Linked DNA regions of Notamacropus eugenii. The protein of the gene in region 2 purifies or fractionates together with the protein of the main gene of each other region. This does not show direct contact. Links are inferred from orthologs where the notes say so. Each region holds a gene or a part of one and is shown on either strand. Other genes may lie near its edges. The genes, in order: TNKS1BP1, FHL2 and CTNNB1.

Evidence for each region.
Region 1: the proteins of FHL2 (region 2) and TNKS1BP1 purify together in Homo sapiens (affinity purification with mass spectrometry; 3 studies listed by BioGRID and IntAct, with this or other methods). This does not show direct contact. The link is inferred for Notamacropus eugenii from reciprocal best matches to the Homo sapiens genes FHL2 and TNKS1BP1.
Region 3: the proteins of FHL2 (region 2) and CTNNB1 purify together in Homo sapiens (affinity purification with western blotting; 3 studies listed by BioGRID, with this or other methods). This does not show direct contact. The link is inferred for Notamacropus eugenii from reciprocal best matches to the Homo sapiens genes FHL2 and CTNNB1.

What each region holds. Positions count from the first base shown.
Region 1 is NC_092873.1:2,909,917-2,920,119, reverse strand, and holds the start of TNKS1BP1 (182 kDa tankyrase-1-binding protein), read left to right. Parts: upstream 1-3,740; 5' UTR 3,741-3,858; intron 3,859-4,588; exon of another isoform or gene 4,589-4,643; intron 4,644-6,084; exon of another isoform or gene 6,085-6,165; intron 6,166-6,195; exon of another isoform or gene 6,196-6,285; intron 6,286-6,551; 5' UTR 6,552-6,566; coding exon 6,567-6,660; intron 6,661-8,051; coding exon 8,052-8,712; intron 8,713-10,203. Other genes in the region: FACT complex subunit SSRP1, read left to right, coding at 1-113, 1,451-1,528.
Region 2 is NC_092877.1:200,471,754-200,481,956, forward strand, and holds the start of FHL2 (four and a half LIM domains protein 2), read right to left. Parts: upstream 6,284-10,203; 5' UTR 6,194-6,283; intron 1-6,193. UniProt on the Homo sapiens protein: May function as a molecular transmitter linking various signaling pathways to transcriptional regulation. Negatively regulates the transcriptional repressor E4F1 and may function in cell growth.
Region 3 is NC_092874.1:44,339,279-44,349,481, forward strand, and holds the start of CTNNB1 (catenin beta-1), read left to right. Parts: upstream 1-3,711; 5' UTR 3,712-3,826; intron 3,827-5,476; exon of another isoform or gene 5,477-5,923; intron 5,924-10,203. UniProt on the Homo sapiens protein: Key downstream component of the canonical Wnt signaling pathway.

The DNA.
Region 1 (10,203 bases), on a different chromosome or scaffold from region 2:
CCAAGTCTTCATCCAAACAACTGAGTGAGAGCTTCAAGAGCAGAGAATTTGTGTCAAGTGATGAGAGTTCTTCAGGTGAAAACAAGAGCAAAAAGAAGAGGAGGAGGAGTGAGGTAGGACACATGAGGGGCATATGGGGTCTGGAGCCCCACTGAGGACGTTTTTGGTTAGCCTGGACTCTCTGAGCCCAGCCTTGATGTAAGAGCTAGGTTATAAAGAGAGTCTGTTATCCTCAAAGCTGACATTCAGATGAGAGAAGTGGCAGAGAAATAAGGTATCTACAGAGCAGGTGGAAGGTGATCTGAGGCAGGAAGGCAGGAGCAGCTTTGGAAAGCAGAGGGCAGGGTTTGAGCTAAAGAAAGTAAGATGCCAGGATCAGAATTCCAGGCCTGGGTACCAGCCTAGGCCCAGAGGCAGTGAGAGTAGTGTCCTGTTGGTGGTAGGCCAACTTTGCTGGAGTGTAGAGTATGTGGAGGGAAGAAAAGTCAGAAGATTGGAAATATTTGAAAGGGCTTGTTTATGAAGGGTTTTAAGTACCAAATAGAAGAATTTTTATATGATCCTGGAGCTCATTGAGCTGGGAACACAGTCAGAAAAGTTGCCTTGGCAGCTTTGTGGAGGATGGGCTGGAGAGGGGAGAGACTTGAGGCAACAGGTGCTGAGATAACACTATGGGTGACGAAGGATGGTGGTGCCCTTGACTGTGACAGGGAAGTTCAGAAGCTTTGGGGGAGGGAAGGGAAGACAAGTTCTGTCTTACCCTGTTGAGTTTGAGCTTCTCATGGGCTATCTGAGGTGTCTACCAGGCCCTTGGGGATGGGATTAACTCAGAAAGACTTGAGGGTGGGATACAATCAGTTATTAAGTATTTATGTGCTTACTATGTAAGCCAGGCATTGTGCTAAGAATACAAATAGGAAAAAAAAAGATGTTACCCTGCCCTCAAGGAGCTTATGTTTTAAGGGGAAAAAAACATATTAAAGGTTGGAATGTGGGGAGGGGGGAGGAGGAAGCCGCATGGTGGAAAAGTCTTAGAAGTCCCAGAGGAGAGCAAGTTGAGAGAGGCTATATTCTGAACTGAACTCTCTCCTTACGTGGAAATTTTGGAGTTGATGGGGGCAGAGTAGTGAGGGGGGAATCATGTCAGCTGATGGGATCTTGCAGGATGATGAAGTCAGTGCACAAGGAAGTGGAACACTTGTGGGTTCCAGGATCTGACCTTAACCCTATGTTGGAGTAGAGGTCGTCCTGGGAATTGAGTGGATTGAGGATTATAGTATTTGAAAGCACATCAGTATGTATATTCCAAGTACCCTCATGTGAGGGCAAGAGATGGGGGAGCAAGACTGAGCCAGTGGGCTTGGGAAGGGTATGACATTTGGAAGAAATGGTGCTTTGGGCAACTGGGTGCGTGAACCTCACCTCCATGGTCCCCTCTGTATTCCCACAGGATTCTGAAGAAGAGGAAGAACTGGCCAGCACACCTCCCAGCTCGGAAGAATCAGGATCTGGGTCTGATGAGGAGTAGAGCAGCATCTCCCCTGCTGTCCCTGTCGCTCTCCCAACTCCCCATCTACAGTTTCCATCCATACCCTGTTACCAGCAGCCCCTAAACTGAGAAATAATCCCTGGACTCAGCTTGCAGTGCAGCCCTCCTTGATTTATGGACTTGAGTGACTGGGCAGGGAGGGTTTATCCTCTGCACTGCTTCACAGGTGTGGCACAGTTGAATCTGGGAAGGTGAAGGTTGGAGCACAGGTTATGTGGGACCTAAAAGCTTCAACCCAGGCTCTGCTTTCCTCTCCACGGTACTGCCAGCTGATCCCTTCTCTCTCCCTTGGCAACTCTTGGGAAGCTGCAGTGGGGGTCACACAGGGCCAGCCTTGTAGCCCCTTGCCGGGGCCTATTTCTATTTTTATTTTGTATCTCTGTCAGTGGAAGTCACAAAAAAACGATTTAATAAAGCAAAGTGACTTTAGCAGCCGTGTTCAAAAGGACCTCCACCACGCTGTTGGTCCTCTCGCCTAGGACACTTTTCAGCTGAAGCAGCAAGCTCACTCCTTGCTTCCTGTTGGTTGGGGGGGGGAGGGGGGGGAAGGGGGGGGTGCGAGCGCACCATGGCCGGGAATCCAGTCTTCAGGTACATTCCTCTTAATTCCGATCTGAGTGATTATTTTCACCCCCTGCTCCCAGGATGAACCACTTGAGATTTGGGAAGTGGCCACTGATCTAATTAGGAAAGGTTGCCCAGCCATCCTGCTCCATTATCTGGGCTGTATTTGAGCTCTTGTCTCCAAACATAATCACCTGTGAGCCACAGCGATCTCTAGGCATGTGATAATTAAATCAGGATTGAGTGGCCTCCTGTAATCTGGGCAGAAGAAACACGAGTCGAAGAGGTGTACGCAATGGTACAGAACCATTATTAGAGAGGATGGAGAATCTGATATGCAGGAGGGCTGATGGGCCTGTGCATGCCCTATTCTCTATACTGAATCTGAGAATCAAATCAGCCCAGTTTTGCCCTTGGAGCCTGCAAGCCCTGCCTCTAACGTGACCTTGGCTAACTCCTGGAACTTCAGCGTTCTAGGCAAATATGAAGACTGCAGGGCTGACCTTTACTGGTAGAGGGAGTTTTCTCATTGAGAGTTCCCTTTACAAATGAAATCTGAACCAGGCCCTGTATTGAACTTGGTCCTTGTAATATATAGATAGGTCTTTAGATACCAACACCTGGTCCAGAAACTTGTTTGTTTCATGGAGCCCTTTGGCAGTCCGGTGAAATCTCGGGGTATTTAAATGCCTAGAATTACAAAGGAAGCAAAGCTTTTCTTAATACATGCCTATGTTATATATTCATATAAAATACACATACACGTACAAGCTCACAGAAGCCAGGGCGAGAATCACTGCCGAGGTGATTTGGGGTCTAAGCCTGGCTTTTGCCCCGGGGCCTGTTTGCTCCTCTGGAAGCTGAGGGTGGGGTCGTTTCCCGGGGCAGCCTTCAGCCCCGGGGTCGGAGCTGTTAAGGGTCACCTCGGTGATGGGCCTTCAGGTTTGCCCCATGCTTTTCGAGCCTCTCCCTGGGAGGCGCAGGAAAACTTGGTTGCGGTTACTTGGTTCCTGCCTGAGCGGAAAGCCTCGGGATCCGTCACTCTCCAGGGGCCCCTTAAACAACCTACTGGGCGCAATCGCGCCTGCGGCCCAGGCGTCCTCGGGGCCTCCGGCCAAGCCCCTCGGGGCTGCAGTTTCCTCATCTGTAAAGTCACAGGGCTGGGTGGGCTCGCCCGGGGGAGCGCTCGGGACTCGGTTTCTGTCCGTGTAAAGGCTAGGTGGGCACCGACGCTGCCCCCATGCCCCCGGGGAGGTGCGTAGGAAGCTGCTCTGAGGGGTTCCAAGGCTCCTCTCTATGGCGGCGCTCGAAGCTTGGGGCCACGGGGCCTCCGCTCCTCCGGCTCACCGCCCGGGACACTCTAGCCGGTCGCCTCGGTGGTCCCCGACCCTTCTGAAGCAGTTTCTGCGGCCTAGTGGCGCCAGTGGCGGGTGAAGGCCGAGTGCCCGGCGCGCCCCTCGTTTACATATTCATAAATAATAGTGGGGAAGGCGGAGCCCACGAGCCCTCGGCGAGGTTGGGCAGCCGCGCTCCGCCCGGGGGCGTTTTGGGCGGGGCCGACCATCTCATGAATATGCATGAGCGGTCTGGGGGCGGGACCGGGCGATGAGGGGGCGGGGCCTCACCCGGGACTCTCAGTAGGTCTGTCCCGCGGTGACGGCGGCGGCTGAGGCTGGGGCCGGGCCGGGGCGAAGAGCGGGGACGCGGGCCGAGCAGCGGAGACGAGCCGGAGCCCCGGGGAGCGCGTGAGTGCGCGCGAGTTGGGGCGACCCGGCGGAGGAGGGGGCGGGGCCCGCGCGTGGGGGGGGGAGCGGGAGGAGGAGGGGGCCGGGGTGGGGGGGGGGCCGCGTGGTCGGGGTGGCCTCGAGGGCCGCGGAAGCTCGTGCCCCGGGTAGGGGAGCTCGTGCGTGGGCGGGGGCAGGAGCCGGGGGGCGCACTCAGGCTCCCTCCCCAGAAAAGCTGGAGAGCTCACGCTCGAAGAGCCGCCGAGGCCGAGTCGCCTCCGAAATCCTGAGAAAAGCCGGGAAGAAAGAGTGGGAGGGCTGGGGGAGGGGGCTGGGGGCGGGGCGGGGGAGGGGGCCGGGGGCGGTGGCAGCTGGGGGTGGAGACGGGGCGGGGGACCTGCGGGAGCGACTTGGGCTGCGCCGGGGTGACGAGTGGCTTCCCCGCGTCCTCCCGCAACTGCCCCCGACCCAGGTCCCGATCCCGCGCCCCCCGGGGGCTCGGCCGCGTCAGTCCCCGCACCTGCTGCAGCTTGTCCTGCGTACGGCCCCGGCCCCGCGCTGCCTCCCCGGCCCCCCCCCCCCCCCCCCAGTCTGCAAGCCCGCACGGTATCCATCAAAGAACACCGACCCGGTGCTCGGCGCGGTGGGTGATGGGTGCTGGGACACAAAGGCCAAGGAGACCTCGCCCCCCCTTCGGCCTCCCCCCCTCCCCCCGGAAGGAAGTCGTTGTCCCCCTGGGGCAGGGCCCTTGTTCCAGACGGCTCTGCAGGCCGGAGTCAGGAGGCTTCAGAGCCGATCCCTTCCAGGTGCCCCCCCTCGGGTTTCCTTCCAGGGCTTGTTATCCATTGCTTCGCCTGGCCACCTATGGTCATCTAGACCCGTGGGCTCCTGACCCTGAGCTTGCAGGATGGACCTCTCTCCCTAATCCTTCTCCCACCTTGTTCTCAGTCCTGTCTTTCCTACTGCTCTTTACTCGCTCTGACTGCCCTTGTAGGTGAGACAGATTCTCAGTGACTCCCTCTTATCCTGGTAATTCCCCCTCCCCCCCCAATTCTTTCAGTGGTTAAGACCTTAAGAAGACCTACTGTTGGTTTCCTTTTTGTAAGAAATACCCTCTCCCCTTCTCCCCTAACCCTCCCCCCCCCAACAACATTGGCACCATTGCATTTTTTCTCCATGTAGGCTGCCTGACTTCATTCAGTTCCTTCCTGCTTTGTGAAGGGAAAGGGGGGTGTGTGTGTCAGATTTGCAAAAACCAGGCCCTTAGAATTCAGTGTGATTTTGTTTTTTTCCAGAGCCAGCTGGGGTGTGTGCCATAGAGGGATGGTTAGGCCCAGCCACCCCACCCAGTGGAGATCAGGTGCAGGTTGTGTGAATTAGATGATGGGAAGGAACCTTGAGACACTGACTGACCAGAGAGGAAAAGGTGCTAGTGTGTTAGATTCCCCCTCCCCCCCATCAGGTAGATAGGGTCCTGGTTCTGTGGGCTGGAGCTAAGAGGTTACAGGGTAGGATAGGGAAGTTGGAGCAGTTTGGGAGCCATCAAGGAGGTGACATACCAGAACGAGGGAAGTGTGGGAGTTAATGGAAAGGGCTAGGAATGCTTAGGAGGGTGAGAGGCAGGTCTGTCTGGTGACTGAGGCAAGGAAACAGTTCCCGTTTGATACAGTTATGTCCTAAATATGGAGAGAGTAAGGGAGGGGTGGACAGGAGTTGTCCACTCTCCAGGTAGGCTCTTTGAAGTCCTTGGCCTCTTTCTGTAGTGGAATGGTGTGGCTCGGCAAGCTTTCTTCCGCTGTGGCTCTCTCCTCCTCCCCCAATCCCTTCCTGTCAACCTGGAGGCCCATACCCAGTCCCAGCAGACCTGTCACTTCTTTAAAGGATGCGTAACCAGCCTTTGGGTCTTGGCAGCAGGAGTCAGGGCTTCTAGAGCCCTTACCCAGTTCTCTATGGGTGCAGGGCCTTCTCCTTCTGCCTCTTGGCGAAGAGCTGGAAATCCAGTGGGAGGCCATTGCTATAGCAACAGGCACAGGCCCTGGCTTTACCTCATCAAATTCCAGCCCGACGCCAAAAACGATTGAGAAATTTAAAAAAAAAAAAAAAGGAAAAATGTATTCCAGATGTTTACTTTTTATTCCCTGTTTTTCCGTGTTTGGATGGAGGCAGCTCTGACAGGGCTCTTGAGGGAGGGCTGGGGAGGCAAAAGAGGGGGGAGCCAGGGGGTGGGAACCACTCCCTGCTGAGGGAGGGAGACAAGGAAGGGACTGGGGCACCGGGGCGGAGCAGTTGCAGGTTGATGTGGAGCGGGTTTTTCCCGTCCCCCACGAGGTGAGGTGAAGTGATTCACGGGAAAGCTCAGCCTCTGAGGCCCAAGTGCCCCTTTCAGTCTGGTGCCCAACTTGGTACCCACAGTGGGGTGGGTGTGGGGCAGCTGTGACTGTGGGAAAGGTAAAGTGGGGTCCTGGTTAGGAGACTGGGCTGTTCCGGAGAGCTTTGGGGGACAAGAGGGCTTTGGAGTTGTTCCAGGGCCCATGCTTGCTGCTGGGTACCCCACTTTTTTCCCTTCAAGTTTTTTCCCTTTTCCGGAGTTCTCCTTGCCTAGCCCTCCGCCCTCTCCCCTCCCTCCCTCCCTGCCCAAATTCAGCTTCTCTTGACCCCTAATCCTGGCTGTCTCCTCTCCCTCTTTCTCCCCTGCTCTTGTGTTCCTTCTTTAGGGTTTGCTGCATGTGATGAATTTATCCACTCTCAGGGAAAGCTCCCCCATGGCTTCCCGGCCCCCCCAAGAGATGGAGGAGGAGCTGCTGCTGGCTGACCCAGTGCCAGGTACAGATGGGAATAGGGTGGAGCTGGGTGTCTGGGGAGGGAGACACTGTTCTCCCAGGAATGAGCCTGGGAGCCCATGATGGGAAAGCGGGGGCCAGAGGAAGCGGGAGGGGAGTGACACAGAAAATAGGAGAGAACTTTGGAGATGGAAGGAATTTGAGAGGGCATCGAGTCACACACTTCCTCATGAAGAAGTCTGGAGTTCTCTGCTTATTATCAGAGAGACCACTGCTTGAGGACGGGACAAGTGACTCAGGGTGAATCATGTCATTGGGAAGCAGGGGTGGAGAAAGCCCCCAGGTCATTCCTGACTGGCACTCCAGGAGGGTTTCAGCCCCTGCTCCACGGGATGGCCTGGGATGTGGAGGGTGAGCCAGGCTAGAATGAAGAGTGAACCCTATGGGGATAATTGGAGTCTGAGTGTCCCCCTTCCTCAGAGTACTGGAAGCCCCAGGAGGATTTGGGGGTACTTAGGATAAAAGAGGCAGTATTAGGGCACGAAGAACACTGGCCTTGGCATTCAGAAGCCCTCTCAGGGTCCTGTTGCTGGTGCTGAATGACTGTGTGGCCACAGGCAATTTAATCAGGTACTCTAAGCCTGTTTCCTTTTCTCTAAAAATAGATTAATAGGTAGCAATTATATGGTGCCCACTCTGTGCTACTTTGATAAGCATTTTGCAATTATTAGTAGGTGCCATTATGATCCCCATTTTACAAATGAAGAAACTGAGGCAGAGGTTAAGTGCCTTGCCCAGGGTCCTATAGCTAGTAAGTGTCTGAAGTTGGAGTTGAGCTTAGGCCTTCCTCACTCCAGGCCCAGCACTTTATTCCCTGTGCCAGCTAGCTCATATACGCAGCATGCTCTAGTATGTGCTTGACCAAATGTTGTGAGGCTGAAGTGACAGTCACCAAACATTTTGTACGTGGCAGGCCCCTTGGGGTTAACAAGAAAGGCAAAAACACTGTCACCTGCCCTCAAGAACCTGACGTTTTAGTGGTAGAGACATGTAAGTGCCTAGGTCTGACGATCTCTTGTAGCAAAGGGAGGGGAAGATGATGGCAGCCTGGGCCTGGGAGAGCGCTCCTGCATAAGGTAGAGTTGAAATAGTCTTGAAGAAAGTCAGAGGAAGTCAAAAGGGAGCTGAGGGGGTCTGATGGTGCTGCCCTAAAGGCCTCTGGCCTTAGTTTCCTCCTCTGCAAAATGAGGGGTTTAGATGAGACGGCCTATGGGGAAGATGGCTTTTAGCCCTGGAGCTGTGACTCTGTGGGTCTATGAATGTGCCAGTATTATCTTGTCGCCTCATTTGTGTTGTTTTCATTGACTTGGCCATCAGTGATGTGCTTTCCAACATCTCTCACATCTTCCCCTCCCTGCCTCCTCTTTTTTGTAGGGGACTCAAAGGCCAAACCCCCAGTAAAGCCCAAACCTGAGCCCCGGACGCTGCCTGCCAAGCCAGCTCTGCCAGCCAAACCCAGTCTGCTGGTGCCACTGGGGCCAAGACCCCCCCGAGGCCCATTGGCTGAGCTACCTTCTGCCAGGAAAATGAACATGCTGGCAGGACCACAGCCCTACAGTGGCAGCAAGCGCCCCTTGACCTTCTCTCCTCGGTCAGCCTCCGATGCACCTTCTGCCGCAGCTAGCCCCAGGGAGACCAGCAAGGATGAGGGGCCCCCAGCCACCCCTCCACCCCGCTGCTCAGTCCCGATGGGGGTCCGGAAGGCTCCTGCTCCTTTCCGCCCTTTGTCTGATCGTTTCTCTACCAGTACTGTGGAAGAGATCCTGGCCAAGATGGAGCAGCCCCGAAAAGAGAGCTCCTCTAGCCCTGACCGCTTTTGGGGCTCCCGCCTCACCTTCAGCCATGATGGCAGTTCCCACTATGGCCCAAGGGCCTATGGCCCACTGCAGAGCCCCGGGGACGAGGAGACAGTATCCCAGGAAGACCAGGCAAAGCCTGAGGAGGGGCAGGAAGGAGGCCCGAGTTCAGCTGGGCAGTGCCCTGCAGAGCCCCAAGGGGGCCGACCTGAAGGATCTGGCAGGATGCTTGAGGAGAGGTGAGTTGGGATATGGAGATGGCCTGGGGGAGTCCTTCAGCCTGATATCTTCCATGGTAGCCTCCCAAGCTTCTGCCTCCCTTACAGTCGTAGAATCTAGAGCTGAAAGGAACCGCTGTCTGAGGAACGTTGTATGAGCCTAGCCCCACATTTTAAGGATGAGGAAACAAAGCCAGAGGAGTGAAATGGTCACCCAGGTGGGAAGTAAGAGAGTTGAGTGTGAGGCCAGGGCACATCCCAGTTGAAAACCAGATCAGAGCTTTGGAGCTGGGATAGACCTTGCAGTTGTCTAGGCCCAAGATTTCCAGAGGAGACAAGCAGCAGGTGATAATTCTCTGTTGTATTGATTTCCATGGGGCCAGAGTCTCTTAATGTCACTATGCCTAGGACCTTCCTTTGCAGGCTTCTGGTATGTATGGGTCAGCGTAAAGCCCCTCTCCTTCACTGTCAGGGCTTCCTCTGAGCCGAGGAAAGGGATTTGGAGTCTGAGGACTTGGGTGTGAATCCTGGCTCCTTAGGCTGTGAGGCCTAGGACAAAGGATTTCCCCTCTTTGGGCTCCAGTTTCATTTGTCAAATGAAGGGACTGGACTAGAGACCTTTGAAGGTCCCTTCCAGCTTTTAATCTGTAATCCTCTGATGAGGAGGCTGTTTGTCCCCAAGCAGGTTTCAGGCCTTCAGGGACATGTGCTGTTATAAGGGGCCGCATGATAAATTGATATCTCACGAGTTGCAAGAATGGTATACAGAAGAACCCACATTTTATGTAACAAAATTAGGGATTGATGATTTATTTTACAGATGGCATTACCATATGGTTTCTTTAAATAGCAGATTCCTGCTCCCTGTCCTCCACCAGCCCCACGCCAGTGCATCTAAATCATGATTCTGTTGGCAAAAAACGTACTTACTTACTTCTTTTCAGGAATGCAGCAAACCTGTAACCCCCAGCCCTGCCTGCCTGTTGGGATGGGAGTTTGCAGTGCATTGTGGGCCCTCTCTCTGGGAGGGAGGGACAGAGCCCTAGGGGATCATAGCTGAGCAGCAGAGATGTTAGCTGTGACTCAGGCCCTTCCTCTGGGGAGCCAGCCTGTGGCAAAACTGCCCTTTTGGGGCCTAGTCCAGCCTCTTGTTGGGCTGAGAAGCAAGAAGTGTGGTGGGGTGGGGCTGAGCACTTTCACTTAAGCCAGACCCGGAAGGAGGAGACACCTGCTTAGCCAGCCTGGCATCTCTCTCACCTGGCTGAGGCAAAGGAATGGGGGTGGTGGCGATGACAGAGAGGTTAACCCTTCCCACTCTGGTACCAAAGCCTTGTAAGAAATTACCACCACAGCTGAGGGGACAGCTGGCCTTTCTTGCTGGGTAGAGGGCCCAGTAATGTTCCATCCCTGGAGATTTCCATCTCATTATTAAAGTCACAAAGCACCTTCCTCTCAACCACTCTGTGAGGCAATGTGTTTGACTACTAATTCTCATTTTATAGAAGAGGGAAG
Region 2 (10,203 bases):
TGGACAAAGAAGAAAAGTTAGAACTACTAAGTTCTAATTTTGTTTGTGGTTTGAGTGTTATTTTTTTCTGCCAAGAGAAATTATCTTCACATTGAACAGGATAAAACAAACATGGCTAAAAATGACTTCCCAAGCCAAATGTGGTGGCCAACACCTGTAATCCCAGCCACGAGGGATGCCGAGGCTGGCATATTGCTTATGCTTGGTATTTCTAAGCTGCAGTGTGCTAAACTTGTTTGGTGTCCGATTAAAACTTGGCATCAGTAGGATGATCCTCTGGGAGCGGTGGGCCACCAAGTTGATGAAGAAGCCTGAGCTGCCCCAGGTTGAAAACAGCAGATTAAAGCTTCTGTGTGGATCAGCAGTCAGATCAGATCTATGAGTAGGCCCTGAACTTCTATTCTGGGTGAAATAGGGAAGTCCAGTCTTTAAAAACAACAACAAAGCATGAAAACAAACAAAAATAATTCTAGGGGAATCGTTCCCTGATTCCCAGATGCTAGAGCTTTCTTTGCCAAGGTTACCTTGTATTTGATTTGGAGATTTATGCTTATATACACGCTGTCTCCACCAATAAATTTTAAATGTATTTTTTCTCCCTGTATTTGTTTGTGAAGTTTTTTGCCCTAATACATGATCAATTTTTGTGAAAGTGCTATAGACAACTGAGAAAGAGGTATATTTCTTTCTATTCCCATTAAGTTTTCTCCAGAGGTCTATCATATCCAAAGGCTATAAAGCTTCTTGAGTGCAGGATTGTTTTGGTTTTGTCTTTGGATTCTTAGTGCCTAGCATACTCTCAGGCCCAGAGCAGGAACTTAAATAAAAGATTGTTTGATTGATTTGTAAGACAGCACCTAGCTATCCAGCTCAAGTTACTGGAACCAGCTGAACTCTATCTGAGGGTACCAAAAGACCTGGCCGATGTGATTATTGAACTACTCTAATGTATCTTGAAAAGACTGGAGAACTGGAGAGGGTGCTAGAGGACAGGAGGCAGGTGAATAAATGTGGACCTGATATTCAGAAAAGGGAAGAGGGTGGAGTAGGCACAATATAGTATGATGAACTTTGATTTCTGGCAAAATTCTAGAACATATATTTTTAATAAGTTGTGTTTGAGCACTTAGAAAGGGAAGTGGTTATCATTAATAGACTTTTAAAATTTTCATTCACACTGATGTGAACAAAAATATGTTTTATCAGCCTTACCTCATTTCATTTTTTGACAGGGGTATTGATTAGAAGGTGGGAGAATGCCACAGACATACACTATCCAAAATGCAGTCAAAATATCTTTGACAAAATCCTTCTAGCTATTATTACAGATAAGATTGAAAGATGTATGCTAAATGACACTATATAATTAGCTGAATTTGGAACTGGTTTGATGTATTACCAATGGTTTCTATGTCAGACTGGAGTGGTATCTATAGAGGAGTATTCCAGGGGTCTTTCCTTGGCCCAGTGATGTTCAACATTTTTTCTCAATGGCATATTTCTAAAGTTGACAGATGATATGAAGCAGAAATGATAGATAAGATATTGGAGTAGAGTTTCAAGTCAATAGGCTTGAATGAAAGATCAATTCTAATATGAGGAAATTAAGTAGGGAAAAATATAACATAACTTATACATCACTAAGGTAAAAAAAAATCAACTTCACAGTCATAGCATTTATGGTCTAATGTACATTATAGTTATCTGGGGGAGCTAGGTGGTGCAATGGATAGAGTGCCGGGCCTAGAGTCAGGAAAACTCATTCATCTTTGTGAGTTCAAATCTGGTTTTACTTGCTGTGTGACCCTGAGAAAGTCATCTAACCCTGTTTGCCTCTGTTTCCTAATCTGTAAAATGGACTAGAGAAGGAAATGGCAAGCCACTCCAATATCTTTGCCAAGAAAATTCAAATATGGTCACAAAAAGTCAGTCATGACAGAAATGACTGAACAACAACAAAATAAGGAAAATGTAATATAACTTAAATGTCGTTGGGGTAAAATAAATAAATAAACTTCACAGGCACAGCACTTATATTCTAACATATATTATACTTGTTTTTGGACATATCTTATACCCTCTCTATTAGGATGAAAATTTCTTGGAGATAAGAACTTTATCTTGTTTTTCTTTTTTATCTCTAGTATTTAGCATAGTGAATTATAAATAATATGTGCTTCATAAATGTTTGAATTTAATTGAATTAATGAACAAAACTGACTTTTCCTGACCTAAGATGATGATCATTCTCATTCTATTGCTTAAAAATTGAACATTTATTCAAGATAAGTAAAATAAAGTAGTTTTCTATTTAATGACTTCTAAAAAAGACACATGATTGAACTCAGGATGGATGATTGGAAAAAGTATGCATGGTGAATCTTATAACAAGTCATTCTATACTTTATGAAACCTGGAAAGACTTAAATGAACTGATGCTGAATGCAGTGAGTGGAACCAGGAGAACACTATACATAGTAACAGCCACAATGTGCGAGGATTGTTTTTGATAGACTTAGTCCTTCACAGCAGTGCAAGGACCTAAAACATTCCCAGAGGACTCTTGATGCAAAATGCCATCCACATCCAGAGAAAGAACTATGGAATCAGGATGCAAAATGAAGCAGACTATTTTCTCTTTTTTTATGTTTTGTTTTTCTCATGATTTCTCCTATTTGTTTTAATTCTTCTATGCAACATGACTAATGTGAAAATGTGTTTTATAGGAATGTATGTGTAGAGCCCATATAAGATTGCATGCCATCTTGAGGAGTGAGTATGGAGGGAAGGAGAGAAAATTTGGAACTTATGGGAGTGATTGTTGAATAATACTGATATCAACATTTTTGAGCTCTGGGAAACATGCAGCTGGTCTCAGAAGAAATAGACTAAACCAGCATCCTATCGTCCTTCATTTTGTATTTGTACTAAACCACAGATTGACATTACTGAAATTGATCTAGATAGATCAACCTAGGAGAAAGCAGCTTAGGAGCCCAAGCAGCAAACATAACACAGTTACAACTCATCCCTTGTGAAAACAAATGGCTCCCCACAGCTAGTTCAGATATTTCTACCTTCTCTCATTCTAATTAGATGTCACAATGCAAAGAAATGCAAAATGCTTGCAAACCAAAATGGAATTTTTGTATTTTTCCCTTGGCTATATCCTCAATATGCATTTTAGCTCTCCTTTTTCTCTACTACAGGTATTTTTCTTAATACTCATAGGTATGTTGGAAACACATAAACATAGCTTATGTGAATTATTTGAATGGCTTGATGATGACATTAACTTGTTCTGATTTCATTTGACCATTTTTCCATCATCAGTTATTAATTAGAGGAAAAGACTGCTATTAAAATGAATAAAAAGTTTTTTCTTTCTCTATCCTTACTCCTCAAACTTAAAAATGATCTTTCTAGTTTAGAAAAAGTTAACAGCCTCAGGTTCTAAAAATTCTCTGTTAGAAAAAAAATTTGTTTTTACAAGATAGCATTTTAAAAAATAGCATGACATTTATAAAATACATCTGTTAAATACCAAATTCTTCAAAGCACATGTTATTGCTGCTTTTAATTGTCCAACCATGATTTAAAGACCTTTGAGAGTACAATTACAGGAAGCCAAATTAACCTGGGTAGAAAACAAATCAATAAAGTTAGATGCTTGGTGTCATATAGACTAATCTAAAAATTGCTAAACTAATTTTTTTTTCATTTTTTTTGCTGATAATTTTGCTAGAGTAGAAGTAGCTTCACAGTACTCTGGAGCAATTTTCTTTCTGTGTGTTAAATGAGGATCAAATGAGATAACATATATAAAGTGCTTTGAAAACCCAGAAAGTGATAAATTAATATTATTGAATATCAATGAGCTAACTTGATTTTGAATTTGAGATTCTACATCAGGATTAGTGAACTCTCATTTATTCAGAATGGTTTAGGGAAGGATGGCTCTGATTAATTTAATATTGAAGTATGAAGCAACCCTAAAATACACTGACTACAATTTAATTTTTACACTTAAATTTTGTGAAATTCAAATACATGTAGGTTAGATTTGTCACAAATATAGTTGTAATTTATAAATTACATATGGTCTAGTCTGGCCATATACCTATGTACTATAATGCATTTGTGTACACAGAAAGCATACTATATTATCATAATGTATAATAATGTAGCATATGTGTGTGTTGTAAATTATTTTTGTTATACAATGTTCCAAAAGTCTTAGTGCAATTTAAACTTTAATAAGCTGACAACTGCACTAAGACATTTGGAACATACTGTGTTATACGCATATGCATGTTTTTATAGATACGTTTGTGCTAAATGCCAGACCGGATGAATCAAAAGCTGAAATTAAGGTATCTCAGATATGTAAATGATACCATTCTGATGACAGAAAGTGAAGGAGATTAAGCCTCTTGATGAGGGTGACACAGGAGAGTGTAAAAGCTGGCTAGAAGCTTGACATTAAAAAGAAAACCTCTAAGATATTGGCAACTGGTCCCATCATTTCCTGGCAAATAAGGGAAAAGAAACGGAACTCGTGTCAGGTTTTGTATTCTTGGGCTCAAATATCACTGCAATCAGTAACTGCAGTCTGAAATTAAAGTACACTTTCTCCCTAGAAGGAAAGCTATGGCAAATCTAGACAGCGTGCTAGAAAGCAGAGACATCATCTTGCTGACAAAGGTCCATGTAGTCAAAGCTATGACTTTTTCAGTAGCAACGTGTGGCTGTGAGTTAGGCTATAGGGAAAACTGAGCGCCACAGAACTTATGCTTTTAAATTGTGTTGCTGGAGAAGACTTTGGAGAATCCTTTGGACAGCAAGGAGATCAAATCAGTCAATACTCAAAGAAATTAATTCACTTTGTTCACTGGAAGATCAAATACTGAAGCTGAAGTTTAAATACTTTGGCCACATAACGAGAAGATGGAACTCATTGGGAAAGCCTCTGGTGTTGGGAAAGATTGAAGGCAAAAGGCAAATGGAATGGTAGAAGATGAGATGGATAGATAGTGTCATGTAAACAGTGAACGTGAGCTTGGAGAGACTTTGAGAGTGAAGGACATGAAGAAGGATAGAAAGGCCTGGTGTGCTATGGTCCATGGGGTCACAAGGAGTTGAACACGACTGAAAGGCTGAACAACACATTCTGTTTGCCATAAACTCTTGTTTATCATATCTGACCATGAGCCCCATTGTAGAGCAAGCACTTATTACAAGGATGTAGATCTACCATTAGTCAACTCCCCTCCCCCAACATTTCTTAAGCACAAATACAAGTACTTAAAATCTCACGAAATATGACTTGCTTTACAAAGCAGGGGTTAGACTTGGCCCCCAGTACTTACATCCTAAAGGGGTTCCACAAACTGCTTTCTTTCATAGACTGGAGGTAAGAAATAGCACTTGCCTGGCTTCTGAGGAAAAGTAACTAAGCAACCAACATGGGGTGCCAAGGCGTTGGCTGGGCTCTTGCATTCATGACTCAGTCCTAGGCACATCAGGCCAGAGTCCACTGCAAAAGCGTGACTGCATTTCCTTTTGGAAAGCCCACAACAGCTATTTGTGCTTTCATACTATAAGCCATAACAAGTCGTTTTGTTTAAACATACTTTCCCAGTGTGTAATCAGTCTCATCAGTGATTTGCCTTTCACCCAGAGGCACCCGCAGGCCATCAGGAAATGCTGTCACGGAGCAAAGCCTCAAATGCAATATGGAGGTTTTCATCCCTATTTTTTTGTTGTTCTTTATTGTTTCGGAATTTTCCAGTTTCCAAATATTCAGTGTATGTGAAGCAAAAAAGGAAAAAGAAACCCCCTTGCCAAAAACCCCCCAAAAACCCAAACCCTTTTCCATGCAATTTTCTATTTGAATGGGAAGAATGGTCCACATGGAAGGAAAAATATTCTTTCAGCACAGTCTGCAGAGGGACAGGATTTTGCATAATGAGCCCAGCTGTTTAGCACCTGGATGGCAGTCCCAGACTGGCATGAAGAGACATTGTGTAGGCAGAAACGGCTGAAGGGAAAGCTAACAGTTTTTAAAGCTCTCTCCTCCCTAAACATCAAAGCTTCCCCACATTAAGTATTTGTTATCTTGCTGGTAGCCCAGGAACCGGAGAGGAAGGAAGGGGAAAAGAAATTATTGTGGATCAAGTCATTTTGTCCTTACCTCGGCTACAACCCAGTCAGTGGTAGCTCCTTTTGGTCGGCTCCCTTGCCTGAAATGAGAGGACAGCAGCCAGTGCAGGGGTTTACTGCTTTATTGGATTACTCCTAACTATGTCTTTAGTAATTAGACAGGTCTTCTCTTGCCAGAGGGAGCTATAAATACAGTATCACTAAAGGAACAGCCATCCACAAAAGATAAGAACTGAAGCACCTCAGCTATGGAAGCCTTTTAAGGCATCTGAATTAAGACAGCTCAGACTTTCCAATGACAGGGGGCTGCCAGGCTCCCCTTTTGGTCAGTTCAGTCCAAGGACACACTTGTCCTATGTAAATAACTCAGCAAGCAAAGTGGAGGGGGGATATTGGGGAAGGGGGAGAATTTCAGCTTTATCAAGCCTATGACAGACTGTTAGATTGCCACAACTGTGGTGTGTCAGGAACATATTACAGGTTTGGAGGGCCAGGGATAACTTCAGAAGTCAGCCCTTTAGAGGTAGCTTGGAACTGGAAGTACCTTTGACTCAGTCACCCTAAAACACTTGTGGCATCAGTGAGGGCTCTTCCATCATCTTCTAGTGGTGAGCTTTCAAGTCCTGTTCTTGAAACTATTACCCCACAAGACTTTCTTTAATCCTCATGAGAAGATTCACATCGTGAAAATCTTGGCATCACACCCTTGGATAGCCTGTGGGGGGAGTGGGGGCAGTAATAATGAACAACAAGTATGTTTGTAATTCCTGAGCTCCACGTATGTAAGTCAATGTAGAAGACCTTGTGTATTGCTGTTAAGCCTAAGCTAGAAACAGGTGAAATGGAAGAAAAGGAAAGGGAGAGAGAAAGGCTTTCAGAGAAAGGAATGGAAGGAGAAAGAGAAAAAGGAAGGACAAAATAAAAATGAGCATGTGGTAGGAGTGGTGGAATGCTAATAGGGTGCCTCTCAGTCAATAGATAAGCACTTATTAAAAGCTGACTACATCCTTCACCTCAGGGCCAGAAATTATCTAACCATGACTACAATTTAACTTACTGCAAGACATTACATCAGTCCAGATATTATTTAAAGAGTGACTTTTTGTGATCATTTACTTTTATTTCATGCTTCCCTTTGATGCCTCATGGTGTTAAGGAGGTAAGACTGGGTTCTTTTGGGTTATAGCAGCTGAATACATGCTGTAGAACAGAGGTATTAAACACACTGTGGTCTGCAACATGGGAGTCCTGCCTGAACCAAATTAAAATATAATTGGGAAATATTTAATGAAATAAATATATTACATATATGTATATATATACATATTTATAAAAAATAAAATAAATAAAAATACAATAGAACATTGACTTTTAAAGTCAATATATTGATGTATGGATTAGTGGTCCCCCTTTCTATTTGAGTTTAACACATCTGCTCTAGAAGGTCCTATAAAGCTAAAAAATCTTCATAAGATCATGAACCTAGGGCTGGGAGGGTTCTCAGAGGCTACCAGCTTCCAACTCCCTCTTTTTCTAGGGTAGAAAACTGAAGCACAAAGAAGTTGTGACTTGCCCAGGTTGACACAGTTAATATGTATCTGAGGAAGAATTCAAACTCAAGTCTTTCTGACTCCAAGAATTTAGACAAAAAAAAAAAAAAATTCCCAGTACTGTCATGTGTCTGAGAATCATGGAATGCCAATTTCAAAAGAATTAAAATTAAAGGTTACTGAAAGAAAAACGGAAAGATGATTATCACCGTAAGTAGGCTTCTCTATCTACTCTAATACATCACCTTTGATAATGGGAATAATGCATTGCCTTGTCCATAATAGGAACTTAAATGCTTGGTGAATTGAATTGAGAACCGTAGAAGAGCTGCTGATAGGCTGTCATCTAAAGAGTAGTTTAGTTGGAGATCCTGGAAATGCTGAAGTAAGCATTTGACCCCAATAGCTAATCATAAACAACTCTGATTATTTAATTTTGAAAAGTGCACTCACATAAAGCATTTCACAATACTTATTTCAGAAGACAGGAGACTAAAAGGATAGAAGATAATAGGCATGAAAGAGTTGCCCATTGACTATATACGTCACAACAACTATAATAGTACCACTTTCCATGTGTCTAACAAGAATTTTCATGCCCTTTCCAAAAAGCATGGTAATTTTTGCCTATTTCATTTGAATTTGAATACATTTCTAAAGCTCATACAAATTAGTGATGGATCTGAGTTCTACTTCTCAATCCAACCGAAGGTATAATTTCCCCCAAATTTTGAAAGAGCATAAGAGAAAAAGGGAAGTTAAATGACTTTGGACTTCTCTAAGATTATACATTAAGGCACTGGCTGAGTTAAGTAAGATGAGCTGTGCCTTAAGTCCCCAGGATTATCATTAACTCATACCACATCTAATGCTGTTGCTACCCAACAGTGTTATGGAGTGGAAAATTTCATGCACTCATGGAGCTGGGCTAGGTTTTTTGCCAGGGAAATTTTCCTTTCATTCCTCTCTAGACTGCTCTCTGAACTTTCTCTACTGTGCCTGAGAAGCCTTTTCATCCTGAATGCTCATTCCAGGCCTGGAATTCATACAACATAAGTACCCTCCCTTCCTCTGACCTCTCTCTCTGATAGGATGGCTCCTCCTAGAACTTCTATTTAAGGAGGGTGCCCAAGCCAGCCACGTCTCATTTCTCTCCAAATTGTACTCTGGATTTTCTCTACCATGCCCCAGAAAACTTTTCATTTTGGAAGATGAGGAAAGAGGACCAGAGGTTAAAACACTTATCTAAGGTTGTACAAATAGTGAGTGGCAGATCTGGGATTTGAACCCAGATTCCCTCACTAAAACTCAGAGTTCTTTCTACTAAAATTTATTGCCTCATCAATACAATCCACCTAAGAGTTAAGGAGTGCTCCTTTAAGTGTGGTCATATGACACAAGTCATTTTCCTTCCCATATGGGTGGGAAGATGAAGAGATGAGGGTTGGAATGGAAGTCATATCCATCTAGGTGAGAGGACACTATGCCCTAAAACAATGGTGTCAAACTCAAATAGAAATGAATCTTGTAGCTTGACTTGGAAAATCACAAATTAACATTATCTATATTGGATTGTATTTTTATTTATTTTGTTATATATGTCCCATTTGCACTTTTATCTGACTCCAGAAGTACTGGAGAATTTTCCTGGCAGAGGGAAGTTTGATATCATTTCCCTAAAAGATAGGTAATGATCATTTTCACAATGAGTTCAATAATTTTTATAGCACTGACCAGTCAGTGTGGCCAATGCATGAAATATTTACTATTTACTATGTACCAGGCACTGTTCCAGGTTCTGGGACTATAATATATATATATGTATGTATATATATATATACATATATATATACATATATATATATACACATATATATACACATATATATATAAATTAATATTTATTAAGCACCTGCTACGTGCCAGGCATTGTGCAAAAACAAAAACTAAACATTGCCTATCCTTAAGAAGTTTTCACTTACTCAAAGGGAAACAGTATGTACACAAAGAAGTATGTGAGAAACATGGGCACATAGGTAATTTCTTTGGTGGTGGTGGTGATGGTAAGAACAACAGGAAGTCTACTCTTCAAAAAGCTTACAATCTATTGGTATTTATTTTAATTTTTTTTAAATTCTGAACTTAAACACCAAGTACAATTATCACTTCCATTTACCCAGTAGAATAGAAGAGTATAATTTATAATTTATATAATTATATAATATGAAACCATGACTCTATTAGGTACGGTTTACTTCTCTTTTTAAATATATAGTAAACAAAGCTCTCCTGCTTATCTAAAATTTCTTCTGGTTTTCTTTCTGTTCTATTTTGTACACTAAAAAATACAGGGAAGAATGCTTAAATGACCCTCTTTTCTTGTCTTTGTTTATGGCAACTCTATGCTTAGCCCCCTGTTGCTTCTGCTCCAGAAGAAAAAAAAACAAACTCTAAAACTCTTGCAACAAATATGCATAATCAAGAGAAATAA
Region 3 (10,203 bases), on a different chromosome or scaffold from region 2:
TGTTGCCGCCATTACTGCCATCCCAGTTACCATCACCACCACTAGGATTCTTTCTCCCTACGGTGAAGACCAAACACAAGTTTTCACTGTAACTCCTCATTGAATTTGTCCAGTGGATTCTTAGATTACTCCTGTGTATGAGTGTAGTCAACAGTCTAGTTTGATAAAGGGTATTTACAACTACTTAGTCTGCTCAGCTGGAAATAAATCAAAAGATTAAACTGAGCCCTGAGATGATGTATTGCAAATCAAAACTCATGATCCATACGTAGCCCAGTTGGTGATATGTTCAACGAAAAGCTTATCCTGATGGTTGCTTAATGTTTTCAGTTTTGCCATAAAGCAAGGACAAGGGCAGTTTCAACAAGGAAACTTGGCCTTCTATTCCATGCAGGCTCAAGTGTTTATTGGCAAAGCCAGGATATGGTCTTACTTTTGCATTGAATCTTAGTATTCTTAGCCTTCTTCATTTAGACATTAGGGTTGGAGTGCTGCCCATAGGTAAGGACCTGGGGAAGACAGGCGAGAAGGAGGTCACGCCTTGGTTGCTGGTGTTATTGATTTCTGACTTGATAATTCTTTCCTCTGTAAGTCTGACTAAATACTGGAAATATGCACTGACTTAAGGTATACAATGTAAAGAATTAGATGTCTTTTTAAAATATAGATAGATAGATAGATAGATAGATAGATAGATAGATAGATAGATAGGATGTTTATTTCTATGAGATTTAACTGTCCAGGCTCAAAACGGGTCTTTTGCTCATAATGTTGGCTGAATTAATGTTTATTTCTTTTATTTACAAAACATTCTGGTTATTCATTTGCCTACTGGTGATTAAAAGACACATGTTTTAGAAACAGAAAGCTTTACACTCATGTTCCACTATAACTACTGCTTGATAAGCCAATAATCAGATATTACGATGACTAATGCCTCCATGGTGAAATCAGCTGGAGACATTTTTGGTTTCTATAAACACACCCTGAAATTCAGAACTTAACGGCTGCTGAAGATTCACAAATTGAATTAATTTATGTCAAATACAAGGGACTGACTCTAGAACAGAAAAGTGAGTAAAAAATGAGAGTCATGTGTATTTCTGAAACAAATGTGCATAGTCAATAACAATAACATTTTAGTATCACTTATTTGACTGACTAATCTTATATTTTGATCCCTGATATTCTCCCTACCATGATAACAATATCTATCTTCATTCCACACGCTATTCATCTCATATTTTCAAGGAAATAATTGGAACTGCTACTGTCAAATTCAACTAACTTGTTTTACTGTGATCATGAACAATGGTTCTTTCATAATTGGAGTTTGATTGAGACAAATAATCACTTACTGTGTCACTGCAATGTTTCTGATTTATATTAAAAATCAGTGTTTATTTAGGCTCAAGAATTGAAAACCATATTTCTGCAGTTGGACTAAAATACTCAACTTGCAGAAGCAGACCATCCATTTGTGCACCTCTTTGGAGAACAAAGTGTAAGTGTGTGGGTTTTTTAGCTTTTAAATGGCAATAAAAGGAAAGAAAGCCATTTCTTTCAATGTAATAGCTTGCTGCATTTAAAAAATGATAAACATGTGAATGGCATCATTTCTTTTAAAAATCATTTGGTATTTATTCAGTAGTTTTAAAAAATTAAATCATAATTAAGCAAATTAATCATAATGTGTATATTTAGCCTGGGATTTAGGATCAAAGATTTGAGAACAGGATGTTTGATTTGTCTTAAATTGTCAGGAACTTTGCTACTTTAAAAAATTTTAAAGGAGTAGCTATATTTTATATTTTGCTCCACTGGAATTATGACCAATTAAGTTTACCTTAATCTATGATTTATGCTTATCTGTTCTTTAGCATCTGTGATATTATGAGAAGAATCTATAGAACTCCCTGCAAAGTCACACAGACAAACAGGGAGAATATTGTTCTAAGCAAGGGATTTAAGTCATTATCTGAATATCATCTTTGTAGTTAGGCTTTCTCCATTGCAGAAACATACATATATTTGTCTGAATGGTATTTGACATAAAAAAAAGAGAATGTGGCAAAATTGTCTTTAGTGCAGTCACAAAACAGATTTATTTAAAGAACAAATCAGCTCTGAAAGACTGTGAAACTACAAAAACTATACCATGAATTCATCCCGGGAAAGTGAATAACTAGATTTCCAGAGTAATACCTATACGCAAAGGCCCATTCTTTGTGAATGCATTAATTACAGCTATTCTATATAGCCACTAAGATAACCTTTGTTGCTTGTCTCTGTGTTAAATGAGGAAAAAAGCTCAAGACAAAAGAAAAGTCATTCTATCATATGATCAAGCTTTGACAAATACATTGTTAGATTACTAATGCATCTCCATTTTTTTTCCTTGAAAATGCCCCTAATTTCAGCCTGTCAGAACAAATTAGAGAAGATAGGTCTTTTGGAGGGTGTGTGTATGTGAGGGGATTAGTAGATTTTGTTTGAAAATAAGTAGAGATTGCATATTAGGCGGGGATATTTGTAAACTACATACTTGAACTTCTTAGACAAAAGGCACTACAAAAATTCACACACACACACACACATACACACCCCTAAACCCACAAATAAAGCCATAGACATGACAACACATTTCTCAGCACAGTTGAACTAAAGTAAAAAATGGAATTTTGTGAATGATTTTTAGGAAAGCAAATGTAATTCAAAGATTATTTTAAGTTAATCCATAATCCTAAATTATACTTCGATAGTTGCTATCAGTAAAGACATAGTGAACTAGGACTTCTTGATTATTTAAATAATAACTCATGTCTCTAAAGTAGGAATGGAAAATGGTTATTATTTTGAAGGTGTGCCTCACCAAATTATACATATCTGCAGAAAAAGAATACTTGTCTTATCCAATCTGTGTTCCAGAGGCTGAAAGATGAAGTACTTTTCCCTCATTCTTATAGATAACTGGTAGTCTGTGGGAACAGAATATTGTATTGTATTCTGTATTACAGGTCAGACATGATGCCCTATGGGTTTGTTGAACTTGGATTTGACTTAAAAGTTGTTTTTTTTCTTTTTGGTTAAAATGGAGGGTTCTTGGGGGGGTATTGGAAAAATAACAGTGGGATAGAAAATATCAATAAACCGTTACAAAAAGAACATCTTATAAAATCAGCTTCAGGATGAAGGGGCCTCCGCAGGATTTTCCCAAGATAGTCTTTTTTTTTTTGTCAGGGAACATTACATAGGCACAATTATATCATTTATATGTAATATATAATTATTACATGTGTGGATATTTTTACACATATATGTAATAATTAGATTAAATTGTGTTTGAGTAATCACTTGGTAAATTAGATCAGTATGGGCTTCTCAAGTGGCGCAATTTTTTTTTAAAGAAATTCTTTGGGAGTTATCTATCTTGGCAGTCTACACCGATACATTTCCCTAAAGGCGAAAGTTATCTTTTGCATTGTGCTGTGGAGAAACACCCTAAATCACACCTGAAGGACCCAAATCGAGAAACCAGTTGCCCTTGAACAAGTGTTAGCCAGACCTTGAGAGGCTGGTGCCCACCTGGCTCGGCCAAGCGGGGAGGGGGCGTGAGGCCCCAGCCCTTCTTTGTCCGGATATGCAGCTCTCGCCTTCCCAGTCCCACGGGAGGGAAGGAGGAACCCAACTTCCCTCCAAGCACCTTCCGCGTTCCAGCGCCTCCCAGGGCAGGTAGAAGCCGCCTTCCTCCCCTCTGCCTGGCCTGCTGCGGAGGCTGGCTGGGGTATGTGCGCACTGGTGGCAGAACGCCGGCTGAGGACGCAGGGTACGAATTCAGCCTAGACGCTCCTTTTGTCGGCCTCCTTGGAGTCCGGAGCGCTGCCCTCGGACGCTCCTTCCCCTCGTCCACCGAATTAGGATTCACTAGAAGGGGAAGCGGGGGGAGCAAAGCCTGCCCGGCGGCCGCGGAGCCTGCAAACCCCGGGAGAAGGCAAGAGGGGCGTCGGGGGTCGGGTTCTCCGTCTAACCTGGCTCCCTCGGCCCAAAGCGAGCAGAAGTAGCCGGGGGAGGGCATGGGGCATGTACCCCCACCCCGGCCAAGCCTGGCATCCTTGGCACAGCGAGAGCTGAAGCAGCAGGGCGCGGGCCGGAGCCTGGAGACAGCCCTCGCGCCCCGCAAGTCTCTCTGCTCACTCCCAGATACCCAAACATTTTTTCCATCAAGCAGTCTGGCGGGTGGGGCGGGGTGGTGGAAAGTGCACTTTGGGGAGGTCACATCTTGTTCGGCCAAGAAAAAGAGGGTCGCCTGTGGGACTCGCAAGAGAGATGGAGCAGGGGCGCAGGGAAAAGTGAAGGATGCTAAGCAGTTGTCTACGGAGAAATGTCTGATTGGATGAAAAGAAAGAAAGAGAGAAAGAAAGAAAGAGAGAGAGAAGAGAAAGAAGAGAGAAAGAGAAAGAAAAGACTTGAGAGACGGAGAAAGAAAAGAAAGCTTAAAAGGAGAGGAAGATAGGAAGGAAGTTGAAAAGGAAAGGAAGACTTAGGAAGAGAAAGAAAAAAGCTTTAAAAGAGAGGAAAAGGAATGAAGGAGGGTAGAAAGTTTAAAGGAAAGGGAGACTGGAATAAAGGACGAAAGGAAGGAAAAGCTTCAAAGGAGAGGATGAGAGGAATAAAGGGGGGAAGGCAGGAAAAGAAGAGGGTCGTGGCCCCCGAGGCATCCCCGAAAGCGCAGGAGGGCTGGAGGGGGTCGCTGGCACCCCCGCCTCCGGGCCTCCCCTGCGCTCCGGCGGCTCAACTTCCCAGAGCATCTGAGGGGGCCTGGCGCTAGCGGGGACCCCCATTAGCGCCCCCGTCCGTGGAGCCCTCCTCCTCCCGCTCCCCCGGCTTTCCCCCTCGCGCCCCCGGGCTCCTCGGGATGGGGCGCGGGGAGTGCAGCGCGCGCTAGGCTCCGGCGCCGGGCGCGCCCCTGGGCCCCGGGGTTAAAGTAGTATTTTCCCCACCCCAGAACCCCGGGGGCGCGGAGTGCCCCGCGGACCCCGCGCGGCCCGAGCCTCCCGCTCCCATTGGGTGGAAGGCCCGAGGATGGCGGGTGCGTTTATTTCTTCTTAAAGTTAGACCTTGCAGGGAAAAGGGGACGGGCCGGGGCCAGGAAGGCCCGACAGTGTGGAGGGGGGCAGCTGGGGAGGGATTGGGTTTCCATTGTGTGCCGGGGTCCGCGCGGGTTGGGGGGGTAGAGAAGGAGAAGGCGAGTGTGCATGGGAGGGGGGGCCGCAGTCACGCCACCGCTGCCCCTTTAAGGCCGCCCTCCCCCTGCTGCCCCTCCCCCTCCTCCCAAGAACTAGTCTCGGGCTCCCACCTCGGGAAGAGGAGGCTCCGGGCCTCATCACACCCCCGCCCCTTCCCCAGATCACTGCACCCCCACGCTGTGGCTACGCTTGGCGGGGCCGCGGCCTCCGCCCGCCCCTCCCGCCGCCGCTCGGGGCCCGGGGGTGTGGGCAGCGCCGAGGCGGCAGTCCCCGGCCCCCGCGGGCGTCCTCTCGGCCGCCTCCCGGCTGGCTCTGCCGCGGCAGGGCGTGGGGACTATTTTCCCCGTCTTCCATCCCGCCCCTCCCCCTCCTTCGCTCCCTCCCCCGCGCGGTGGAACGCTCCGCGCGGCGCCGGCGGCTGCTGCGGCCTCGGCGGCAGGATACACGGGGTCCTGCGCGCCGTATAAGAGCTCCGTGTGCGGCGCCATTTTAAGCCTCTCGGCCCGTGGCAGGAGGAGGATCCCGTGGAAGGGAGCCGGCGGAGGCGGAAGGCGGAGGGCGCTGGCGCTGAGGCGGCTCTGGGCGACGTCGAGCGAGCGGAGCGGAGCGCGGCGGGGCAGCAGCCGGAGTGCGGAGGCGAAGGGACCCCGGCGGCGGGCGGCGGCCGTTCCCCTGAGGTGCTTGTGCGCTCGCTCTCCGGGGCGAAACTTCCTCGGAGGCGCGAGCCCCGAGTGGGAGGGAGGGACGGGCGGCGGGGCGGGGTGGCGTGGCTGGCGGGCCCGGCCCGACCCGGCTCGGTTCGGCCCGGCCCGGCTCGGAAGGCTGCGGCGGGCCCGGCCCCGGCCCGGCGAGGGGCGCATGGATGGGGCTGCCCGCCTCCGGGAAGGGGGGTCGAGGGGCCGCGGCCCGCCGGGAGGGAGCCCCGGGGCCGGGTCGGGGGCGGGCAGCCTCCCCTCGGTGGTGGACCAGGCGCGCTACGGGGAGGGGGAGGGGGCAGGGACCTCTGGAAGAGAGGGAGGGGTATCCTGGGCGGCAGGGGCTTCTGGAGGAGATGGGGGGCGCGCTCTGCGGGGGGCAGAGTCCCGATGTTCCTGAGAAGTGGGAGCGTCGGGGATCGTGCGGGGGCTTTCTTACTTTGGGGTGGGGGTGCCGCCTCTGGATCCAGCCTCAGCTTTTGCAGAGCTCGGCGGGGAACGTGGAGGTTCCGCTCCCCCAGAAGGGTTCGTAGTTCTGAGAACCGTGGACTTTGCGGGCCAGTTTGAGGGGTTCCTATTTGCTAGCAATCCGTGGGGAAGGGGGAAAGTCTGGTCCTCTTGGTCAGGGCTGGGATGTGAGAAGTGATTTTTCGCTTCAGATCTGTGTTTTCTTTACGGAACCGAGAGAAAGGTTTCATATGTGTATATACATATACGTACATGTTTTTTATTTTAAAAAGAATAATATTGTGTTTGTGGCATTTCACTACTATGTGGATTTGAGCAGCACTCCTACCGGAGATGCTTTTTCTGCTACATCTGGCACTGGAACATGAAAACCAAGCAACTTTTAATCTGAGCCAAACTCAGGAACAGCAGAGATTTTAGGGTTTGCTTACTTGGGTGCTACCCGACTGGTTTGAATCAAATAGAATCTGATATCTATCTACCATTAGGCTTCGTGTCTTTATTTTGTTTCCTAACTGATTTAGGAATATTTGTGTCGTTACAGTAACTCCTAACTTTTAAAGCTTTTTGTGGTGAGTTGAGTTTCTTTTTCTTTTCGCTACTAAATTGACCAAGTGAAACTTGATACAAGGCAACTTCTCTCAATGTTTTGTCTAGGGTAGAGACTGTTTCGAAAGGGATTTGGGAAGGAAGTTCCCACAACAGGCTCTGTGTTATCAACTATATACTTAACATTTTTCTCCAGCTTGAAACGCTTCGCATTTCTGTGTAATGGTTTTCTTCGTTTTCTTCTCTCTCGAAATATGCATTGTTCCCTACTTTGTATTTTACAGACATCTGTCTCCCCTCCCCCAAAGTATGTGAGTGGTGCATGGAGTGAGAGGCTCGCTGCTGGTATGCGGAGGTCGGCAAAAGGAAATCTAGGAGTGGTTTTAGTGAAATGAGAGCTTTGTAGACTAGACATAAACTTGGATACTCGAAGGTTTCTTTGAGACAGGTTTTAGTCAGAAGCAACGAGTTTTCAGATTTTAGTTCAGTGAAGTTATATCTTTTATATGTAGTCTTATGATTTAAGATATCACTCAATTATTCTGGTTCAGTCAGTCTTGGGTAGGTTTGATGATTTCCAAGTGTCTTCAAGTTTTTTGCTTCAACTTCACTGAAAAAGCTTATTGGATATCTTGTGATGTTAATGGTGCAGTCTACTGGTTGCTTGAATTAAGGAATTAATTCCATTTGTACTTTAATGAGACTTAATTTTTACTTTGGAATAATAAATCTTTTGATACATTATTTTAAAGCAAAAATTGCCACTCACAGGTGACTGGTGTTTTCTGTTCCTGTTTCTTTTATACTTTCTTCATAACAAATTAGATCAGGATTTCTTAATTTTTGAGTGTATCATGGATCTCTTTGGCAGTTTGTTGAATCCTATGGATCGCCTTTCAGAATGTTTTTAAATGCACAAAGTATATAAGATGACATAGGAAACTAGTTGTTAAAATATACTTATAAGAATACTGCCAAAAAAAGTTTATAGACCCTAGGTTAAGAATATCTGCATTAGACTATTTATTTCTGAGGTGAGTGATTGATCAATGTTGCAGAATAAAAGATTCAAGGCTATTATGGCAATAGTCTCATTGAGGAACTTTTAAAAGTTTGAAATTAAATGTATTTTCTGAAAGTTAACTGTAGAAACTACTTAAATATGAAAGTTTTGAGAAGTAAGTTTAGCATTTGAAATCCTCATAAAACCCACTAAAAACTGCCTTGACTATCCATTTTACTACTAGGAGATCAGCTCAGGTTCTTAATGAGGCTTAATTAAGGGACTAAGAGGGTTCAACAAAGCTGTTACTAATATTTGAGAGCCTCGGGTATATACATAAATACTTTGTACAAAAATGATTTTTTAAAAAGTTGTGACTTCATTGTTGTGGGAACTCGACAGATTGTAAACCCCCTTCTGTATGTATGGATTGCTATTGCTTCCCTTTTCTTCTCCCTGGCCTTCCCCCCACTTCGGAGAAATTTACCTGGTCACTGTCTGATGATTTAACTCCTAAGAATTAAAGATCTTGCCCTTCTTACTTGGTGCCCTCCAAGTCACAGTGAGCCAAATCATTAGTGAGCCTTAAGTGGAAGCTACCAACATGAATCTGTTAAGGTTTACTTCGTAGTTCCTCTTCTCACTTCAGCTTTTGGTCTTGTTCACTATACTTGGGAATGCCTCCAGTTGTACAATCTCCTGCTTAATATACACCGGCTGTGTTTCAGGACTTAATCCCACAAACACTGAACAGGTATCCTGTGTAGAATATGCAGAGAATGGGATATGATGAGAATGTCCCTGCCTTCAAGGAGCTTACATTGAGGTAGAGACCTAGTCGAAATATGTTTTCCAAGATATACAGTTAAGATTTTGTAAGCACTGTCTTTATGCAGTACCCTACCGTATTAGATTGTTGAAGGTATTTCATGCCATTTTATAGTTTAAGAAACTTGAAACTCAGACAGGTCCAAGGTTGCACGGGTGTCAGAAGCCGAATTGAAACCAGGTTTCTCCTGACTTAAAAGTTCACAACTCACTGTCCTTAAAATGAAGTCCAAGACACTTCTGTTATTTGGAGCTGCCTCTCTGGACCCTGATTCCCATCTGCCCTTTACGCCGTGCTCAGCACTTTGAGGTGATAGTTTTGTCCCTTAAACCTTTTTCTTAGGTCCACAATCTGTTTTGTATTTGGGTGTGTCATACCCATTAGACCTTGAGAGCACTGTTCTATTTAGTTTGTTTCTCCCTAGTATCTGCCACTTAGTAGGTACTTAATTTTTGAATGAATATTTTGTTGAAATCATGAAAGCCCAGCTCCTACTGCTAAACAGCTGTTACTGGTGTTAGTAATGGGAGTAATAAACTGTGGGACCTCCTCAAACATTCATGCTCCTGTCTGTAATCCAGTGGTGACTTAAGATGAATTAGGAAGCTAGGAGAAGAAGGCTAATGGTAACAAATTTGTAGGGGTTTAAGAATTAAAAACATTTGAGAATGACCATTATTATACAGTTGGCAAATTTAAAGCTCCCAGATAGCACAACCTAATGAATTTAAGAATAAGTATGGGCACTTATGCTACATTTAGGAATATAACTGTGCTAGTATAATTTAAAAAAAAATTTTTTTGAATACCAATCAGGGCATATTGAAACCCAGTAACACATTTGTTAAAATTTGTCTTATATTCCATCAGTATGTTTGCTGTTATTCATTAGAAGAGTAAAATTAAATTTGTGTTTTGTATATTTGACTACAGAAGGGAGAAGACTACTCTACTCACAAGCTAATGGAGCCCAACTAAGTTGCTTTCTGAATTTCATTTTAAATTAAATATGAGCTTGGTAAAATGTGAACCTAAGAAGCTTTTTTGGAAGACAAGAATATCAGGTTTAAGGAACTTTCTGCAATAACTAATAGTAAAAATTGACACTTGTAACAAGATGTAATTGTATATAGAAGTCAAATGACCCCCAATAAAATACTAGCCACCTGTCTTGTAGCAGACAACTGTAACAGTTTTTTAATTCAGTTGTATTTACATAGTTGTTTTCCTGAAATCTCTTGGCTGCTTCTAAAGTTGGAGATGTAAATATGGGCAAAGTAACTTGTTACTAATTATTTGCTTAAACGACTTTCTATTCCTTTGTATTTCCTTCTATGGGAAAGGGTTGATCTGAAACTTTTAATGTTTAAATTATTCATTATTTGAATTCTGAGAATAACTTAATTGAACTGG